Linked DNA regions of Ovis aries. The protein of the gene in region 1 purifies or fractionates together with the protein of each later gene. This does not show direct contact. Links are inferred from orthologs where the notes say so. Each region holds a gene or a part of one and is shown on either strand. Other genes may lie near its edges.

Region 1 (4,512 bases):
TCATACTAGTTTCAGGGAACCTTACACACTTAGGGTATAAAAGGTTTTCACAAAGACTGGTCGGGGTCCTTGGCTAAGAGACTCTGGCTTTCGCCTGCCGATGTAATAAACTGCACTCCACTATCTGCACTGTCCTTCTGAGTTTGTTTCCTGGAACGCATGGCTACAGTAGGGTTAAATGGGGAATGTCAACAGATACGAGGGTTTTGTGGGGGGATGGTGAAAATGTTCTAAAATTGATTGTGGAGATGATTACACAATTATGTAAATGTACTAAAGACCATTGAATTGTACACCTTAAATGGATGAATTGTACGGTAGGTGAATTACACTTCAATACAGCTGTGAGGGAAAAAGGAAATTAGGGTATTTTAATTCTGAAGGATCATTGCAAGATGATTATAGAAAGTGTCATACACACATGAAGCCCTTAATAAATGGTGGCTGTTACTCATTGATGTATTAGCGTGCTTGTGTTTTCCTCACAATGATGAACATTTTAAAAAGAACATTCCATCCATAGCAATATGGAGCCCTTAGTAATTCAGATGGAATTTTACGTACATTTTAAAGGACCCCCTTGCTCATAAAGGCCAGGGCTAGGCCCATGAGCATTTCCTTAAGAGCTAGTGTGCCAGCAAAGCATCCTTTTCTAGGGTTTTCCTGTCAAAACGGTAAAACAACACACAGAAAAGAATACTTCCAGTACTGTTTCCAAAGTCCTTGCTTTCGGAAAATGTTTCAGTATTGTTAAATATTCAAAGTATCTCCACTTTGAACACTTAATGGTATTGGTGTAGGTTCTGGTAGAAAAGCCATACAAATTGGTTCTGCTTTGATCCTGTGTGTGGAAGTTCCTACGCACTGCAGTAGGGGAAAAACGTGCTCTACAGCTTTATTGTTTTCATGATTACTTCTAACAATGGTATTACCTCCCGGGTTATGAATACATCTAACTTGAACTGGAAATACTTAGTTCAACTTTTTAAACAGTGGAATTGGTGATGGACAGAGAAGTCCGGCGTGCTGCAGTCCATGGGGTCGTAGAGTCGGACTGAACTGAACTGAAAGTGGTTAACAGGTGGGGAGAGGGCTGGACTGGGAGTCAGGAAGAAGCCACCAATATAACACTTTCTTTTTTTTTTCCTAAGAAAGCGAGGCTACAAAATTTACAGCACATAGTATGTACATTTTTAGCTTCCCTCTTTCCCCTAAAGTTTGTGCCAGTGTGCAACTGAAGCCACCAAAGTTGCTTTTCACCAGATAAGGAAGCTACTCCAGGGCTTCCAGCATCTCAAGGAAGTTTCAGGGCAAGGTGCCGAGCCTGCCGGAACGCAGATGCGTGGGGGAAGCTGTGCCGGGGCAATTCACTCCCGGGCAGCAGGAGGCCCCGACCGGCTGGGGCTGGCAAGCACCCGGCGCTTAGGGGCGGAGACGTAGGGCGGGTCACCAAAGGTCGGGCGATTGTGTCGGGAGGCGAACGGGGCGTTGGCGACGGCGGGCGGAGCTGGGGGGGAGTGATGTAAGGAGCGGAGGGATCCCACTGGAAGAGCCGGGGCGGAACCGTGAGACCCCAGGGGTGTGGGGCGGGGGATCCCAGTCCCGCCCTGTTTTCCCCGCCCCTCCCCCCGCCTCCTTCACGCCCCTCCCCCCTCCTCCCCTCTGGTTGGAAAGTTTCTAGAATCTCTTCCCAGCGGCCTTTGCGGTTCCAACATGGCGGAGCTGACGGTGGAGGTTCGCGGCTCCAACGGGGCTTTCTACAAGGTACCGACCCTTTTGCTGCTTTGTTGGCTCTTCTGGGGGCTCGGGCCGGTTTGGGGGAGGGTTGGTGGTTCAACATAGTGGCGTTTGGGGTCGAAAAAGGCAGCCAGGACAAAGCCTGAGGCCACTGGGTTCATCGCTTCTCCCCCCTCCACCCGCGGTTTAACGGTCTCGGGGGCCCGGGCTCCGTTATATTTTGAAACAACACGTCGGACAGTTCTTGCGTATTCCTACTTACGAACCTTTTTCTTGGATGCTAGTGTGGCCGTTCGCGGGCCGGTGAGGAGAAGCCGAGTGGCCGCAGGAAGCTTCCTGGGAGCAGGCCCGAGCGCCGAGAGGTGGGGGGAGTCGTGAAAAGGAGGTGGTGGGATTGTTTGGTCACAGCCACTCCCCCGCCCCTCGAACTGGGCCGAGCGAGAGCGCCTCGGCCCGCGGCTACGACCCCTCCCCACCCCCTTGAGGGGTGCCTTGCGGAATCTTAGGAATTCACCTTTGTACTAGGGTTTTGGGCTTATAAACTTCAGTGTCTGAAGAGAGCGAGTGCAGAATTGAAGATTAGGACCGAAGAGAAAACTAGAAAACCTTGAAATGTGGCGGGTAGAAATATTTTATTTTGTTTTTTGCCTGGGAAATTGGGCGGCGCCTTAGCCCCTCTATTACGGAAGAAAAGGCGAGAGAGTTCTAGGCTTTAAGATTTAAAATGTGAGATAGATTAAGAAGACACAGCTGGGGAGGTAACTAGTTTGTGTTTCAGTTATCCAGTGTTTTTGGAGGGTGTTGACCCCCCCCCCCCGCAACACACACACACACACGCGTATTTTGAAGGTGCATTATTGTGGGATCGAGTCTGGAAAACGGAAGAGGAATTCGAGAGTAGAGGAATTTATTAGGGGCTTCCAGTGTAGGGGTCACTTAATTGAAAATGAAATCCTTACAAGTTTAGTCTTGCCATTATAACAGTCCCTTTTCCCGATTCTCCCTTTCTCCCAAAGTAATGCCGCGATGTTACAAGATCAATACAAAAATCTCCCCAGCTGTTGTCTGTCAGTCAGTCTTACTAAGCCAGCATCTCAAATGTTTGAGAGTCCTGGCTATTTTTATGAAGGGCCTTCTCCTAATACAGGAGTAGTATTGTGAGTACGCAGAATGTATTCTGAGTTTAGTTTCAGCGTACCTCGTATCTCCCACGGAATTTTCTCTTACTTGGTGGTCGTAATTCCTATTTTTAGCGTTTTCCTTTTCTAGTTTACTAATTAGCTGTGTGAAATTGGTTTAGCTGTCACGTGGTTATAGCGTAGTAGAGAATCACTGTTGGCGTCTAAAGGATCTCGTTAAGCTTTTTACAAGTTTAAATCTCCTTAGGTGGTTAACGTAAAGTGAAAAGTGACTAGTGGAAAGGAGTCCTAATTAGTGAATAGTTCCATTATCAGTCTAGGTTAACAACTTTTTGTCATACAAAAGCCCTGAGTAAAATTTGAGTAGGTATATCATTAGCCTGTTCTAATGGTTGCCGTCTTTGAAAGACTGCAGATAACATTTGTGGCACTGCACAAAGAGTGGGCTTATCATACTTTACTGTCAAAGGTAGATAAGGTTCATCATTTTTGCTTTATTCTCACTATTCGGCTGTTGAATTCTTGTGTAGTGGAGATAACGCATTTTTTCCTGGCATATCGAAACACAGGAAAGATTGTTTTGCTTTAACAATTTTCAGCATGTCGATGATAGATGATACAACACCATTTCTTTTTATGCAAGTATATTTGATGTTCATCTGCTAAACGTTTACGTTTTTAAAAACATTTTAAAGGTTCAATAATATCGTCAGTTTGCAAGTTTTAGTAAAGATTGTTTACCATCTTACGTTGGTTTTGCATAGTTTGTTTTTTTTTTTTGCTTTTGTCCTTGTTTTGGAACTGTAGTTTATCGATGAGACTTATCCATACTCTACAAAATCTGCTTGATTCTTAGACTTTTTGAGTCCATTACACCTATTTTGTTTACAGAGTGTAGTAAGGTGGTTCTTTGGCAGAGGTTGGGAAGGACCCTAGCCACATTTGAATCTGCTGAGGTAGCACTTAAATGTTTTGAATTTTATGTCCTGCAATAATCGACTTGTACTTTGTGGAAGCTATGGTCCTCAGAACTCTGGAAGAGTAAAGATGATGAAGTGGAAGGAGCCCTACATTTGAAGTTAAACAAATAGGAATTCTGCGTCTCTACATACTTCAGCTTATTTAAGGTCATCTAGCAGTGCACTGTTGACCAAATATTCCTGGTCCTATATTGTTTTGCGTAAAATAAGATGTTTGAAGTAGTTCAGTAGTTTGTAATATTTTTATCCCATGAAACTGTCCACTTGGAAAAAACTGGCTTACTGCATAAGCACATTATTAATTGTAGATTCATGAATTTTTTTAGATTAATTTGCCTATAGTAAAATGCATCTTTTTAAAAACATCTTTGACGATTATGTAAGTTTTGATAAATGCTAACGGTTGTGTAATCACTACCAATAGGGTAAAGCGATAGAATAATTCCACATCCCCCAAATTTCTATCTTGTCCCCTTGTAGTCATCCTCTCTCCTCACCCCTGGAACCTAGTGTGGTTTCTGTCCCCATAGTTTTCCCTACATAGAATCATACAGAATACTATTTTGAGTTTGGGTTCTTTAATTTAACGTGGAAGTAATTTTAAGCAATTTTTTCAAATTTAAAAAGTAATACATGGTCAGTGAGGGATTTTAGAA
Region 2 (3,818 bases), on another chromosome or scaffold:
GTTCTAAAGTTTTAACCTCTGATAGGACACTGCAGAAACTAAAGAGGGCTAAATTGGATCAGGTAAGTTGCAATGAAGGCTACTTCTAAATTTTTCTTACTGTGAGCTGAAAAATACGCTACATACGCAGCAAAATCTGAAGAGTACTATAATTATGTTTTTCTCTTATTTGTCATTTCTTCAGGACCTACAGTAATCATCAGGGTCATAGTTTCTTTTTTTATTTTATTGACATATGTATACTTGATTTACAATGTTGTATTAATTTCTACTGTGCAGCAAAGTGATTCAGTTATACATCTATATATATTTTCACATTCTTTTCAGTATGGTTTATCACGATACTGAATATAGTTCCCTGTGCAGGGTCATAGTTTCTTTGAAATCCATGTGCCATTAATCTCTATTGTTATTTTAACCCATATATTCATTGAACCTCACATTGGTTATAAAACACTGACTGACCTGATTCTGAGTTAAAAACCTTGCAAAACGTAGTGGGTATTCTGCTTTCTGATATTATGGAAAGCCTGTCCAGTACAGTAAGATAACAGGGTTACTATATACTGTGGTTCCAGTGTGTCATATAAAAAATACCATACAGTTAGACTCAGGGCTTTTATTCGTACCTCACTAAGACAAGACACAGAACCATCTGAATAAGAAAATGTTTGATAGAAAGTGGGCTTGATAATTTAAGTCAATAAGAGATTGTTATTGACTCAGAGAATCAAAATTTTATTATTTCCTGAAAGTAGAATTCAGTGCAATTTTCTAAGGTATACAGGACTTTTGACAGAGTTTTCAAGCTATAGAACAGAGAGAGGAGATTATTGGGTAGACCACTGACCTGAATGACATGGTGCTGTGTGGTTGGTTTTTTTGGGTGTTTTGTTTCTTTCTACCTGGCTCATTGGTATTGCAACTCAAATCAGAGACTAGCTGAAAACATGTGTCAAGAAACCACATTGTTCCAAGGAAGAGATGGCACTAACATCTTCTTAGTGCATCTGTTTTTATACAAGCAGCCTGGGGGTGGGGGAAAGTGGAGGGTCAGAGTAGGACTTCACAGGACCTAGAGACAAAGATCTCTCAGAGAATGCAAGAAACACCTGTTACTGATAATCAAAGAAAGGAAAGTCTTTCATAAATTGCAGACATAGCTGATGGATACAGTCTTGGTAGCACATGTCAGGATGCACTTATATCTCATGTCTTCCAATTAGCTGGGAGTTGGCCGATCTAGGATTTGCTCCACATATCTGTCTTCCTTGTTGGACCTCCTTGGAAGGCTACCAGAGGCATGTTCTTCTCATGACAATGTCAGAGACAGAAGTGAAAAAAGAAAGACCTCGTAAAACCTGGGCTCAAAACTGTCTCTGTCTCTTCTGCCTCATTCTGGTAGCCACGATAAATGACGTGGCTGAAAACAAAGTCAAAGAGCAGGGGACTAGACTCACTTGTTGAGTGGGAGGCATTGCAAAGTCACACAGTAAAGGGTATGGATAGGGGAGCGGCAAGTGCTGGGGCTAGTAATGTAATTTGGCACAGATGGAGAGAGAAATTTTTTAAAGCTACCTGCTTAACATTTCACTTAGAATTTGTCCTATTTCTCTTTAAGTATGTGAATAAATTAAAACTGTTGGCAAAAAATACAAACTATAGGCTAGAGTGTTTAGAATCTTGATTGCTGCACTAGTCTTCAGTATTAACAGAATATTTTACTTAAAGGATAGCATGATGAAAGCGCAGTAGTGCCAAGGTAAAAAGGGATATACAGCATTTTGCTAGTGTTTTCATTTCAAGAAGTGAGCTGTATTTAGTCACCAGAACGTCTGGATTTGTTGTCAAAACTGGGAGGCAGGTTTAATCATCTCATGATGGTAACAGTTGTTTTTAGAAATTAAAGCCTTACATTTGGAGTTCATTGTCATGTAAATGGTTCTAGACAAAACTTAGCAAATTCATTACTGTTTTTACATGCTTGTATGTAAGAGTATATAACATTTTACAAAAACAAATATTGAAATACTGTGTATATTCAGTAGATGCACTCATTACCAAACCTGATTAAAGTAATATTTCCACTAATAGCCTCTTCTAACCTTGACCTGTAAGGGAATATTTTTACTTTGAGTTGATTTGATGTATGTGACTTGAGAGTGATCTTCTTCTGCCCTCTTCCTTTTTTTTAAAGCAAACTTTGCACAACTTACTGAGCAAGGTTTCTCCTTCCTTTTCTGCTGAACTTAAACAACTAAATCAACAGCATGAGCAGTTATTTCATAAATGGATGTTGCAGTTACAGTAAGTACTATTATCATTACAAACCTCTGTAAAATAAATATATTTACATAATATATATATACGTAAGTCTGTTAAAATCAAAGCAGTTAGACATTAATTTTTTTTGCAGTGACCTTGATATGCATTTTTACTTATGTGTAAAAATTTGAAAAAATAGATGTTTTCCCAGTTTTATGACCCAAATGTAGAAATGTCATATTATTATATGACTCTTCTCAGAAATTCCAATTTACAGAAAATGTGTCTTTTCTAAGTTTAATCAAATTTGAAAGCTTTTATAAACTAAATAGCCTTTCTTAGAATTATGAACTATTACTTATAAAAATATTTGAAGATACAATTTGTCACAATTGATAAATATATCAGATTTTACTTCAGTTTTTCACAGCCAAGTTTCTAAAATGAAAGAACATGTATTTTTCTTTTAATCCCATTCTATTTACATGTACTATAAACCTTCAAATTTCATGAGGTCTGGTCTATAAATATTATTTTACCATTTTTAAATTGTTTTTTAGAATATTTTATCATTTCTCAAATACTTAAGGTAAAATTTTAAACTTTCATTAAAATACCTAGAATGGTAAAAATTAAAATATAGAAATTTTTTTCTATAATTGTTTTTATATTTGTATTTAAAAGAAACTTAGTATAAGGAAGTGTTTAAAACATATGCTAAAATGTGAGTGCAGTAAGAACAGAGAAATTGCCACAGTTTTCCCTAGTTGATCCTGGTTTTCTTTTGCCAATAATAAATCAAAGGATTATGCTAGTAAGAAAATTATCTTCTTCCCTGTTAGGACCTCATCTCCTCTGAGTAACTATTTGTGTATCTGTTCATTATAAGTTTATATGGCAGATCTTCACTCTAATCCTACCCCACAGCCCACCAGTTCTTTTCTTCCCATATGTCAACTTTGATAACGATTTGCTTTGCTTCCCAGCCTAGACCTCATAGTCAGCTACTTCAGTAGAATTGCTAGTTCTCTGAATTCCCTTGCTTTGTTTTTCCTGCTGCTTTTACCTTGCTAATCTCTGCCTTTGGGGATTTAGCTCTTCTTTTCTTCTATTTCTAGGCTATCCTGCATTGCTGCAGAGCATCTCATATATACTGTTTCTGATTGACCTCCATAAACAATCATGGAGTTGAACTTTAACTTGACCTTTCATGCTTGATGTTCTGGGTTGTCTCACCCACTCTCTTGGCTTCAGTTACTCTTTGTATGTGAATAACTCCCATAACTGTGTCTCTAGCCCAGCCAAAATTCACTTCAGCAGCAGACATGAATTATATTGAAAGTATCCACGTAGAAGTTCTATAACTAATTCATTATACATAAAATTTAACTTATCTTAAACCCATCATTTCCACCTGCCCCGACTACCTAGGGTAGTGAATATCACTTAATCATATAGTTGCCAATGCCAAAAAACTGAGTTATTCTTAATAGTCCTTTTCACTTATCTTCCATGTCTAATCATTCTCCAAATCCAACCGATTTGATCCATAA

What was found.
Region 2: the proteins of FXR1 (region 1) and ORC2 purify together in Homo sapiens (affinity purification with mass spectrometry; 4 studies listed by BioGRID and IntAct, with this or other methods). This does not show direct contact. The link is inferred for Ovis aries from reciprocal best matches to the Homo sapiens genes FXR1 and ORC2.

Annotation. Positions count from the first base shown.
Region 1 is NC_056054.1:206,947,911-206,952,422, reverse strand, and holds the start of FXR1 (RNA-binding protein FXR1), read left to right. Parts: upstream 1-1,702; 5' UTR 1,703-1,713; coding exon 1,714-1,764; intron 1,765-4,512. UniProt on the Homo sapiens protein: mRNA-binding protein that acts as a regulator of mRNAs translation and/or stability, and which is required for various processes, such as neurogenesis, muscle development and spermatogenesis.
Region 2 is NC_056055.1:203,313,248-203,317,065, reverse strand, and holds part of ORC2 (origin recognition complex subunit 2), read left to right. Parts: coding exon 1-62; intron 63-2,197; coding exon 2,198-2,307; intron 2,308-3,818. UniProt on the Homo sapiens protein: Component of the origin recognition complex (ORC) that binds origins of replication. DNA-binding is ATP-dependent. The specific DNA sequences that define origins of replication have not been identified yet.